3 linked regions of the Cricetulus griseus genome follow. The protein of the gene in region 1 purifies or fractionates together with the protein of each later gene. This does not show direct contact. Links are inferred from orthologs where the notes say so. Each region holds a gene or a part of one and is shown in the gene's direction. Other genes may lie near its edges.

Region 1 (3,747 bases):
GTGCTCCAGGAACTCACAAGGATCTGCCTCTCTGCCTCTGGGTGCTGGGATTAAAGATATTTGTACAATGACCAACACTCTCTAATCTATTTCTTTTTAAGATTTATTTTTATTTAATGTGTATAAGCGTTTGGTCTGTCGTTTTTGTATGTGCACCATGTGCATTGCTAGTATTCACAGAGATCAGAAGAGTGCCTTGGATCATTTAGAATTGAGGTTAAAGATGGTTGTGAGTTCCCATGTGGGTGCTGGGACCTGAACCTGGGTCCTTTACAGGAGCAGCAAGTGCTCTTAACCACCAGACAATTTCTCCAGCACCCCTCACAATCTGCTTTTTATTCCCCTCCTACTGTGGACAGGGTGGCTTTTTATAACAGTTGTTTTTTTATTCTCTGGCTGCCAAAAGCCATTTCCAAATGTCAAATTTGTTCTTAGAGAATCTTGGCATGCAGATAGTAGAGAATGGAAGTTTTCTTAGATGTAAATGATCAGGTTGTTCATAAAAGCAGTAAACCTTAATCTCAGTATTCCAGAGGCACAGGCAGGCAGAGCATTGTGAGTTCTGGGCCAGTTGGGCTATTTGGTGAGACCCTGTCTCAAAAAAACAAAAACTTAAAAAAACAACAACAAAAAACCAACCAACCAACCAACCAAACAAAAACTTAGTAAGCCTCTTTCAGTGGTTTATAAAAGAAGCTTTAGGACAATGGATAGATATGCTTCTTTTGAAATATGTACTAAATGGGCCATTTGCTATCTTTTGTTTCTCTGAGCTCTTGTATACCCATGTTCTGATACCACTTGTTTTCTTTTCTAGGGTGCAAAGAAGAGTGCTATTGGCCAGCGCATTGTGGCAACCTTACCATATATCAAGCAAGAAGTTCCCATCATAATTGTGTTCAGAGCGTTAGGCTTTGTGTCTGATAGAGATATTTTAGAACATATCATTTATGACTTTGAAGATCCAGAGATGATGGAAATGGTAATGAGAAAGCAAATGCATGTTTCCTGTGTGTAAGAAGCTTAGAGATGCTGATTATTGCCAACCTTAAAGCATCACACATGCACTTAGGAGCAATTTGCCTGTCACACACCCGGGGCATTTACCGTGCAGTGAAAGCTCAGCTTGGCCCCAGTCTCTTCCTGACAGTAAAAGTGGAGGCAGCTGGAGTCTGACAGCAGCGGGAAGAAGCAGCAGTGAGGAAACTGAAAGGCCTCCAGGCTACAGTGGTTTAGTGAAACAGAAGATGAGTAGTTGATAGTTGGTTTTTTAATCTTTTTATTTGAAAAGAATTTCTAACTTTCAGGGATATTGTAAGAATACCACTAGAACTTTTTTTGGGTTTGTCACATTTTCTCTGTCTTATTCTTTTCTGGACCATTTGAGAATAAGTTGTAGATGTCATGTTTGTTTAATGCAGTGTTTATTTCCTAGGAAACAGAACATTCATTGATGTAATCATAGTATAATTATTTTTTGTTTTGTTTCACGAGACAAGAGTTTCTCTGTGTAACAGCCCTGGCTGTCCTGGAACTTGCTTTGTACACCAGGCTGGCCTTGAACTCATAGAGGTCTGCCTGCCTCTGCCCCCTGAGTGCTGGGATTAAAGGCGTGTGCCACTGCTGTCCAACCCAGTATACTTATTAAAATCAAGAAATTAAAAAATAAATCAAGCTGTTAGGATGACTCAGTGGATAAAAGCTCTTACTATACAAGCCTGACAACTTCAGTTCAGTACCCAAAACACACATAAAGGAGTAGAGACAACCAACTCGGCAGAGTATTCCCCAGCCTCCACAGCACACAGACATCACACACACCAGTAATAATACCTTAAACAGTAACTTTGTAATAGCAGTGGTACCAGGTGTCTTTTAAAAAATAATTACTTGACCCACCATCTATCTGTGGGAATTTTACTGTTTTTTTGTTTGAGGCAGGGTCTCATTTTTTAGCTCATGTTTGCCTAGATCTTACTATGTATACCAGGCTGATAGTCTTCTTGACTCTGTCTCACCAGTGCTGGGACTGCAGGCATGTGCCACCATGTCTGGCCTTGACTGGTTTATGTAGCTTTTTTTTTCTGACTTTTGATACCATAATTAAAATTTATGTTTAGAACTGTGGGTGGATGAGAGAAAACACATAAGTCACACTCTAGAAAAGCATTTCCATATGTATAAGGTACATGATGGATGCCAAACTACTTAGTGCTTCCCCTGATTTCTCCAGATTGTGATACTGACAAAAGCAATGCCTACTGTGATAAGAGGGTCCTTACCTTGATTTCTTATGCCCACTATTCTGTACAATTAGAAATTGAAAATTTTAAAATTGGAATAGTAGTCAGGAAAAAAATATAATGATCTTTTTATTTTATATGTATTGGTGTTCTGCCTGCATGTTTGTCTGTGTGAGGGTTTCAGAAGTCCTGGAATTGGAGTTACAGACAGGTCTGAGCTGCCTTGTGGTTCCTTTGGAAGAGCAAGCCAATGCTCTTAACTACTGAGCTATCTCTCCAGCCCCAGGAAAAGTGTTTTTTTGGGGGAGGGTGGGATGGGAATAGGGGTGCTGGAGATTAAACCTAGGTCCTCATATGCTACGCAAGCTCTCAGACAGTGAGTTACAGCCCTAGGAAGAATTATTTTATCTAGCCCTTTCCTAGATGAGGAAACTAGTAACTTGATTGCTCAGAGGTCATAGATAGTGGCAAGAATGAAATATAGGTCTGTTCAACAGTGCAGTGTGAAAATAGTCTCTTTTTCACTATAGTGAGTGATATCGTATAGAGGTTAAATGTTTCTTCCTGCAAGCACTGAAAAGAAAACCATTCATTTGTAGCTCTGCAAATTTTAATTGCACCATGAAACTTCTCTAAATATATTTGAAATATCTAGAAGAAATGTCTCATTTTTGGTTTTAAACTGTTGGTCATTAAAATATGAAAAGCAAAATACTACTTTTAAATTAGTAGAATTATATTTATTGAGAAAGTGGATTGCTTACATTGGGTGGATTTTGACAGACACTTCTGTATCTCTGAGGAACCTTGTAGATCTAAAATGTGGTCTCTTGACTTTTCTAACAATAGGCTAGAAACTTACTTCACGTGTCAATAAAGTCACGTTAGGTAAAAATATAAATCTGAAAAAGTTAACTATAATTTATTTGGTAGGTTAAACCATCTCTTGATGAAGCATTTGTCATCCAAGAACAGAATGTTGCCTTGAACTTCATTGGTTCAAGAGGAGCAAAGCCTGGTGTTACTAAGGAGAAAAGAATTAAATATGCAAAAGAAGTCTTACAGAAAGAAATGCTGCCTCATGTTGGTGTCAGTGATTTCTGTGAGACCAAAAAAGCCTATTTCTTGGGGTAAGTTAAATTTTACTGTTTGAAGATCTTTGCTAAGTTACAATTGAGATAAAGTGGTTTTCCATAAAGCTAAGGATGTTATAAGTTGTGTTTTGAGATATGTCAAGAAAGACCAAAAATCAAGTGTTTTCATTTTCTTTTGTAGGTATATGGTTCATAGGCTACTTCTAGCCGCTTTGGGTAGAAGAGAACTAGATGACAGAGATCACTATGGAAACAAAAGATTGGATCTTGCTGGGCCCCTGCTTGCATTCTTGTTTAGAGGGTAAGCATTACAGAATGACTTTGCCTAAGTAGAGAGAATTCATTACTTCATTATAGGTGGGTCTTCCTTAGTGTCCCAGAGTGGCTCACATGGTTTCTTTATACATGGG
Region 2 (4,444 bases), on another chromosome or scaffold:
TCAAAAATTAGAAAAAGCACACGTTTAATGGATACAACGCTCCGGGATGGCCTTCCAGCCCCCCAGAGAGGAGATGGGAAAGAGAGACGGGAAAACCACAAGACTAATTTCTGGGGGGAGTTAAATACCCTGTGGGAGTGGTCTTGAGCATCTCTGGGGGAGGGGTCATCATTTGGCAGGCTTCCTGAGATGCAGCAGGGTTTGGAGGGAGATAGGAGATGGGAGGTTTGGGTAGAACTTCAACAATAACATTCCAGATTCTTTGGGTATATGGATGCCAGGGCCTGGGGTGAAGCTTCCACTATAACAATGAACACCTATACAAAAATGTTGACAGTGATTTGATTTATGATCATTAATAACTGAAAACAACTCAAATATCATTCAGCATAAACAAGCTCACATAGTACAATACTACTTAGCAATATAAAGAAACATTGGCATAGATGAACTTCAAGATCATTACACTAAACATTAACAAAGCCAGACTCAGAAATTATCAAACTATTTTCCAAAGAGGTTCTACTATTTGCAAACCCCTCCCTGTTTAGCTGTCTATGGAAATCTCAGATCTTCTTCTTTCTTCTTCTTCTTCTTCTTCTTCTTCGTCTTCTTCCTCCTCCTCCTCCTCCTCTTCCTCCTCCTCCTCCTCCCTCCTCCTCCTCCTCCTCTTCCTCCTCCTCTCTCCTCCTCCTCCTCCTCCTCCTCCTCCTCCTCCTCCTCTTCTTCTTCTTCTTCTTCTTCTTCTTCTTCTTCTTCTTCTTCTTCTTCTTCTTCTTCTTCTTCTTCTTCTTCTTCTTCCTAACACTTGACAGGGTCAGTCTAATTCCTGATATTCTGATTTGTCCAAATATCCAAATCTTGTTGTTTTGTTTGTCTTGAGACAGGGACTCACTATGTCGCCTTGGCAGGTCTCAAACTCACTATGTAGATCAGGCTGGTCTTGGACTCACAGAGATTAGCCTGTCTCTGCCTCCCAAGTGCTGAGATTAAAGGCATGCACTACCACGCTTAGCTATATTGTGTTTATAAAATGCATTTTATAATTGCTAGTAATACTGGTCATTCATTGTTTTTTAAATATTTATTATGTTTTGATTGTGTGTGTGCTCGTATGTGTGTGCATGTGAACCAGGTGCCTGCAGAAGCCAGGGAAGGTTGTGAGATGCCCTAGAGGTGCAGTTAAAGGCAATTGTAAGCTACCCCACAGGGGTGCTGTTACCCAAGTTCTAGTCCTCTGCAAGAGCACTATGCACTCTTAACCACTGAGCCATCTCTACAACCCCCTGTCATTTATTTTTACGGTTATTAGTGTTCATTCAGGAATCCCTGTGAAATGTTTGTCCAAACACTGTACTGCTTAATTGAGATGTGACACTATTACTTCTGGCATACTTTGCTTAATAGAAGTGAGTCAGTAAGTCTTTGACATGGGTGTCCTATACTTTCTCAAAGCGAAGTCGAAAAGCTGGGAAAGCAAAGGACACACATCCAGCGAAAGCGCGCCAAACCCAGACACTTCTGCGGTGATGTAACTTCCGCCCCTGAGCTCTTCCTCGGGCGCCCCCTTGCTCCTGGCCCGGTCCGTTTCCGGCATTTCAATAAAGCTCCATTCGGCTCGAAGAAGCCGTGCTCTTCCGGGAAAATGGCGACTCCCGCTCGCGCGCCCGAGTCGCCGCCGGCCGCGGAGCCTGCTCCCGCCGTGGGCCCCGCCGGGGAGCCGTGCCCTCCGCGTCAGCCGCAGCCCGTGCACAATGTTCTCGCTGCCCCGCGGCTTCGAGCCCCCAGCTCCCGAGGACTTGGGGCAGCGGAGTTCGGCGGAGCTGCGGGAGAGGTTGAGGCGCCAGGAGAGACTTTTGCGCAACGAGTAAGCGGTGGCTCGGGGGTCGCGGTTGCGGGGAATCGGGACCGGGATCAAGGGATAGGCTCTCGGGGGTAGAGATCCGGGACCAGCCTCCCGCTCCCCGCCGCGGCCTTTCGGGCGAAGGTGACCTTGCGTGGTCATGCCTCCTGGCCAGGCCCGTGCTGCGCGCGGCGTTCCTCCATGCTGCCTGGCCCTCAGCAGGCAGCAGCGCCTGCTCCATTCCACGTCCCCACAGCGGCTTTGAGAAAACGTAACCCTGGGGACCCAGTCCTTGCGACCAGACGGCGTCGATCCCCGCTTCTCTATCTAGAGCCCCACTCTTTCCCAAAGCAAAGGAGACGGGGAGAGTGTGCTGTAAAGATGGGCTAATTAGGCCTAGAAAGTTTCGCTCCCGCGTAGTAGGGTGGATGATGATAGCTGACGTTTTAATTTTTAAAGGCAGCTTTGTTTAGGAGCGGGGTTGAGGTAATAAGAGGCAGAAGACGCCAAAAATGTATTTTTTTCCGAGAGATTTTTTTTCAGCAAGATGGGAAGGTGAACTGTGAAGGCAATCGAGAAACTGGGAAAACTTAAGTACTGGTGAAATAATTTGGAGATAAATACATATTCATAGTTAACAGGTGGTTGAAATTTCTGGGGAGCCACAAAGGATAATGAGAAAATTGGGAGAGAGGAATGGATTCAAGGTTAATTTTTTTTTTTTACGCGGGTGTATTTAGTGGAGGGGAATAATGGCAGGCGTTTAGTTAGTTAAAAGCCAACTGATTAAACCCTGAGAAATGGGTACTAGGCTCAAGAGAGGGCTGAATAAGCAGAGGAACCCCAGTTGCAGAGAGGCAGAAAACATGAATGTGGTGTGGTATCGGGAATAATAGAGGACCTAAGAGATCTTCATTTGTTATGTAACTAAGGGAAAGAACCAGAAAGGGAATTTCACTGAGCAAAAGGGGCCAGTGAGCACTGGAGACAGGTATTGTTTTGATTCTTTTTTTTTTTTTTTCTTCTTTTTTTCTCCAGAATGGGTTGTTAATAATAGCAATAAATTAACCTTTTGATCTCAGGACATTTTTAGATTCTTTAAGAATCACTGGGCATCCCTAAGAGCTCCTGTTTATTTATACTGGCAATATTGCTGATTTAACAGAAACAACTTAAGTCTTTCACAAAAACACATAAGTCCATCTTCCTTTGTAAGATAGTGATGTATTCTATTATGTGACCTCTGTGAAACCTGTTGTACTCAGCTTTTATGACAGAAATGGCAAATAGTGCTTTTGACCCATTTTTCAGCCTCATTAGGGTTCAAAGACCATATTTTTAAAACCACTAGTCTTTATTTATATTGAACAGGTTGAATATCTGCTTTCCTAAATACACAAACCAGAATTTTATATTTTTAGGGAGATTGGAATGTATATGTGAGTGTATTGGGACGGTATCGAGTTAAGACCCAAGTCTCAAAATGATTTCAGTTGTTTCTTATATATGACTTTCAAGGTAATTTTGTGTTGTGTTCTTTATAGCTTGGGTTTTGACTGCATCTCATCATGTGGCAAGGTGTGAAGTTTTCCACAGGGCAGTCATTGTCTGGGCTTGAAGAATTTCAGATTTTAGATTGGGAAAATATCTGATGGGTTCCTGTATTAGGCCAGATAAAAATCAGATTTATTTTGAAAAAACTTCAAAGCCAGCTTTTCTTTGAGGATTATATTCTGCCTTTTAAATACCGTGTTTTCATGTTTAAAAACATGGCTCTAATGTGTACATGTTGGTTTCTTTCTTTCTTTTTTTTGCATTTGACAGAAAATTCATTTGCAAATTGCCCGACAAAGGTAAAAAGATTTCAGACACCGTTGCCAAACTGAAAGCTGCCATTGCAGAACGTGAAGAAGTTAGAGGGAGAAGTGAACTGTTTCATCCTGTTAGTGTAGACTGTAAGCTAAGGCAAAAAGCAACCACACGAGTTGATATCGACATAGACAAGGCCCAGAATTCTGACCTGATGCTTGATACTTCATCATTAGTTCTTGACTGTTCCTCTGTAGACATCAAATCATCTAAAACAACCTCAGAAACACAAGGACCTGTACATCTCACTCACAAAGGCAATGAAGAGACTTTGGAGGCTGACTGCACAGTGAACACCGGCCCTGTTCCCGGCAGTACAGCCAGGGCACCCTCATCTGAAGTTAACAAACATCTCCCCCAACGCCCTGTTTCAAGTCAAGTGGAAGACATTTCCAGCAGCATTGACAGTCTGTTTATCACTAAGTTGCAGAAGATCACAATTGTAGACCAGAGTGAACCCTCAGAAGAAAACAGCAGCTCTGAGAACGTGCCGGAGCTCCAGAGTGAGACGCCTAAGAGGCCTCATTACATGGAAGTGCTAGAAATGCGAGCCAAGAACCCAGTGCCCCCTCCTCATAAGTTTAAGACCAATGTGTAAGTGTCACAGAACAGGGAACAGGCTTGTCCCAAGAATGTTTCATGTGGTATGCCAGTTCAGAGAGTGCTGTGTGTGTGTGAGGATCTTCTAAGCAGGAGTGAACATAACTGAAAATAGACCAGCATGGCTGGACT
Region 3 (4,501 bases), about 74 Mb from region 1:
TTCTTTTTCTTCCAGAATCATTTTCTGGCTTTCAGTGTCTTTATATTTTCTTAGACTACCACAAACTCTTTGAAGTCCCGGCCCTCATTTTTTCATATATTAATTCCCACTAGCCCTAGTCTGCAGCAGATACTGGCTGTTAGTTCATCATTTTTTTTTTATAGTCTTAATCTCTAATAATCTCATGCCTCGCCGGGCGTTGGTGGTGCACACCACACTTTTAATCCCAGCATTGGAGAATTAGAGGCAGGCGGATCTCTGTGAGTTAGAGGTCAGCCTGTTCTCCACAGCGAGTGACAGGAGAGGCTCCAAAGCTACACAGAGACACCCTGTCTCAAAATACAAAACAAAACAAACAAAAAACTCATGCCTCTACTATGGTTCATTCCCACAAAACAGTATGCTATAATTTGTTTTTAATAAATTAAAAACTTTCCGAGTTCTTTTTTTCCCTCTGAAATATTAGGAAAAGCCCAAACAACAAGGGCAGATTAAAAAAAAAAAAAAAGTGTCACAAACATGCCACTTCAGTTGCCCAGCAGGCCAGAATTTCAGCATAGAGAAAATCCGGAAATGCAGGACCGGTGGGAAAGGCCCTATAAATACCTACAGTCTAACCAGGCCTCTATGTCCCAAATTCAACTTGTGTATCAGGCAGCGTCCTGCAGTTTTCCAACTACACTTGAGAACAATTCATACGTCTTGCAGGCGCAGATTGAAGGCTTCAGGTAATGTGACATGGGCAGAGAATTTTTCTGACACAATACTGGCAGGGACTGAAAGGCGGGTTTCCGGGAAATCTATTCTCTGGGTCACCTGCGCAACGTGGTCATCCTTTCCATTTTAAAACGAGGGCAGTGGATTAGAATCTGGCAAGCTCCTTTTTTTCTTAATATACTCTAGTGCCCAAACACGAGTGGAAGAGGGGAACTTGGTTGGGGAGGACCGCTGTTTTCCTGGTCCATACTTGAGTTCCCCTTCGTGTTTGCAGGGTTGGGGGAGGCACTCCAGGACTGGCTTCCCTTTCTGTGGGTGCTCTGACTCGCTGCAGCCGGAGCCGAATGACTGGCGGGGATTAGCACCAGGTCATAAACAACCTTTCACTTCCCCTCCCCCCTGGGCCGTCCCGGGGCCCGGCCTGCAACGGCCGCGAGGGCCTGCGCGGTTCCCTAGCCCCGGCCAGTTGGCTCTCCTCAGCCCTGCACTCTCAATCGCGACGCAGAGCCCTCGCCCACAGGCTGAGGGCGGCTTCCACTTCCCCTCTCCCGACCCTGTCACCGAGCACAGCCCAAAGGCCGGCCGCCCTGACACGCACGCCCACAGCCGCTGCCGCCCTGCGCGGGCCGACCCAGTCCCCGCCCCCATCCGCCGCGCTTCCGCGGCGTGTCCCCGCCCCTTCCCGGAGCCCGCCTCCCGGCTGCGGGACCTGCGGCCGCCCCTCGCGCTGGCTCTAGCGCGCACCCGGTGCCCCGCCTCCGCGCGTGCTCAATAACTGTCCTCTGAGTCTGCCTACAAGCTTCCCCCGCCCCTGAGCTGTTTGAATATGCTAATAAGGCTCTAAGGACCAGCCAGTAGAACTGCGGGCCTGCGCATCACGTGACACGAGTACGTGTCAGGGGCGGAGCCTACGTAGCCCCTGCCCGAGTTAAAACCGGAGAGTGAGAGAGAAAAGCGCTTCAGTAGCGAGAGGGGCTGAGAAAGTGGTGACACCGCTGGGGTGCGGAGGGAGTCCCTGAAACTTCTCCCAACAGCCCCAGGGCCAATCTCCCCTCAGCCCAGTCCCCTCTTCGCCAGATCCCTGGTCCCCACTCCCTGCACTGGGGGTGGGGTGGGGAACTGGGCCCGTCTCCCGCGGGGACACACACAGGGGCCGGGAGTGGGGACGGGACCCCCAGGCGGGGGGGACGGACGGACAGGCGTCCGTGCGGCCGCCCCAGCAGGCAGGCAGGCAGGCCGGAGGCAGGGGTACGACCGGGAGGACCTGGGCTGGGGAGTTTCCTCTCAACTATCGGGGGAGAAACTCCCCGCAGCCGGTGTTTTCCTCCCGGGGGCCGCGTTCCCCGCCCCGCGTAGCGGCGGTTGCCGCCGCCGCCGCCGCCGCCGGTGCTTCCACCTCTGCCATCTCTTCACCACCTCGGGCCCCGGTGTCCCCGGCCAGCACTATGCCCATCTTACTGTTCCTGATAGACACGTCTGCCTCTATGAACCAGCGCAGCCATCTGGGCACCACCTACCTGGACACGGCCAAAGGCGCGGTAGAGACCTTCATGAAGGTACCGACTGACCGAGCCCCGGCGGCGACCCCGACCCGGTGGCCCGCGGGGGGCAGGGCGGGGGGCGGCGGGGCTACTGCGGGCGCCTCGGGCGCGGGGACCCCTCCCACCGCGCGGGCGTGCGGGCGGGCGGGGCGAGCGGGCGGGCGAGCGGGCGAGCGGGCGGGCGCTGGGAGCTGGGAGCGGGCTCCGCTGGGCCTGGCCCATGTGGGGCTACTGTGGGTGCGGGGGTCGGCGGAGTGGTGGCCCTGTGTGTACGGTACTGTGGGGGCGGCCAGCGACCCTTCTGCGACTGGTAACCTCGCCTCTGTGCTTCCTTCTCTCCCTCCCGTCCCCACCCTGGCCCGCAGCTCCGTGCCCGGGACCCTGCCAGCAGAGGAGACAGGTATATGCTGGTCACTTTCGAAGAGCCGCCCTATGCTATCAAGGTAACAGCCCTCGCCCTCCCCCCTCCCTTCCCTGCTCCTTCCTAGCTCGCCCTCCCCGCCCCCCTCTTCATTATGCTCCCCTCCCCCACCGCGGCTCCCGCCTCCAGGTCCCTTCCCCTGTGGCCTCCCACCCCTCCCCAGCTCGGGAGCGCCGGCGCGGTGGCAGTTTCTGGCCCACCGCCGTCCCCTCCGGGTCTGGCTCGGCCTGGCGGTGGAGGCGCTACGATCAACATGGCCGACATTTCCCCTCCGCGGCGTGAGCGGCAGCAATGAACTGTGGGGGATATTTATTCAAGTTAGCCCGAGTGACAGCCGGGCCCAGCCTTGCCTAGCCAGGGTTTGCATTAAAAGGGAATCAGCCAAGCTGGCAGGGAAGCCAGGAGGGGGGCTTCGAGACTTGGTCATCACAGAGTGGAACTAGGAAGGCCACCGATTGGTGGGACAGCTGTGGTCAACTTAAGAAGTCCTGCTGCCATCTGCCTTCCACTAGTACCTTCGCAACACCCACCCCTTACACACAATTTGGAGGATGTTATGTTAGCGAATTTCCCAGTGAAGTTATTAAAGTATTAAGACTGTGTAGGGCAAGCAGGTTCATTCTTGGCCACCTTTGGAAGAGATTTCCTCACCCAGAGACAACAGTTATAACATGTGACCCAAGCCATATCAATCAAAAGTGAAGTTAACTATACAAACCCGAAGTGGAATGCCTGCTTGGTGGACATCACATTATAATCGGTGTCCATGTGTGCTGTGGCTTCAAATGATAAAAAAAATTCTTACATCTTTCTTTTCAGGCTGGATGGAAAGAAAATCATGCAACGTTTATGAATGAACTGAAAAACCTTCAGGCAGAAGGACTTACGACTCTTGGCCAATCCCTAAGGACAGCTTTTGATTTGTTAAATTTAAATAGATTAGTAACTGGCATAGACAACTATGGGCAGGTAGGTTGAATACTAAGGTAGAAAAGTTGTTTTTATTTATGTGTACAAAAACACAATCCAGTCCAAAAGTATGCAACATGAAATGCAAGTATAAAACATAACAAGGTTGAAATTTAGTGTGCACACAGTTCAAAACACCTAAGGTGTATGAGTTCCCTCATTTTCCCCTTTAAGTGTATTTCCCTGTAGACTTCGAATCTAAATTCTTGGCTATAAAGTTGACATGAATTTGGTTTCAGTCCCTCAAAGTTCATAAAAGACATCAAGGGGAAGATACCCTGTGAATACACCACTCTGAAACTATGCCACGTGTAGGTACATATGTAACTACTGCAGTGGGTCACAGCTGTCCCGTTGACTGCAGTTTCTTCTATATTAGTAAAGACATTGGAAGACATGACTGTTAGATGAGGGTTTAGCTTAACCTAGATTGTATACTTGCAAAGGTGAGATTTGTCAGTAGTGCAGTCATTGGTTGACATTCAGATGTCTCTTGAGGCCTATACTATTAGAAGTTACTATAGTAGGAAGTCTGAAAGTAATGACAGATTGAGAATTTTTAAAGTTTAAAATTTCAAAACCCTTGGGAAAATGTTTTCTGGGAAACATGAAAACTTGCCTGTCTTTCTGAAGCTCCTCAAAGTTCCTCTCATTTGTGAGGATGAGGCAAGAGCTTTAAGTCACAGCAGTCATTTACCAAGGAAATGTGAGATGATCCATTTATGATATGCTATCCTAGAAATAAAAGATAACAAAGAATATGTATTGCTGCACACCAGTAGTATCACACCCAAGAAATTCAGTATGCAAAGCACTATTACCATAATACTATATTTAGGAATATATGTTATAT

The links. The genes of interacting proteins can lie anywhere in the genome.
Region 2: the proteins of Polr2b (region 1) and Polr2m purify together in Homo sapiens (affinity purification with mass spectrometry; 3 studies listed by BioGRID and IntAct, counting the BioPlex papers as one, with this or other methods). This does not show direct contact. The link is inferred for Cricetulus griseus from reciprocal best matches to the Homo sapiens genes POLR2B and POLR2M.
Region 3: the proteins of Polr2b (region 1) and Ints6 purify together in Homo sapiens (affinity purification with mass spectrometry; 3 studies listed by BioGRID and IntAct, with this or other methods). This does not show direct contact. The link is inferred for Cricetulus griseus from reciprocal best matches to the Homo sapiens genes POLR2B and INTS6.

The regions. Positions count from the first base shown.
Region 1 is NW_023276807.1:143,707,519-143,711,265, forward strand, and holds part of Polr2b (DNA-directed RNA polymerase II subunit RPB2), read left to right. Parts: intron 1-817; coding exon 818-982; intron 983-3,176; coding exon 3,177-3,373; intron 3,374-3,518; coding exon 3,519-3,638; intron 3,639-3,747. UniProt on the Homo sapiens protein: Catalytic core component of RNA polymerase II (Pol II), a DNA-dependent RNA polymerase which synthesizes mRNA precursors and many functional non-coding RNAs using the four ribonucleoside triphosphates as substrates.
Region 2 is NC_048597.1:182,991,320-182,995,763, reverse strand, and holds the start of Polr2m (protein GRINL1A), read left to right. Parts: upstream 1-1,614; 5' UTR 1,615-1,754; coding exon 1,755-1,867; intron 1,868-3,667; coding exon 3,668-4,306; intron 4,307-4,444.
Region 3 is NW_023276807.1:217,770,906-217,775,406, reverse strand, and holds the start of Ints6 (integrator complex subunit 6), read left to right. Parts: upstream 1-1,671; 5' UTR 1,672-2,162; coding exon 2,163-2,273; intron 2,274-2,623; coding exon 2,624-2,701; intron 2,702-3,498; coding exon 3,499-3,648; intron 3,649-4,501. UniProt on the Homo sapiens protein: Component of the integrator complex, a multiprotein complex that terminates RNA polymerase II (Pol II) transcription in the promoter-proximal region of genes.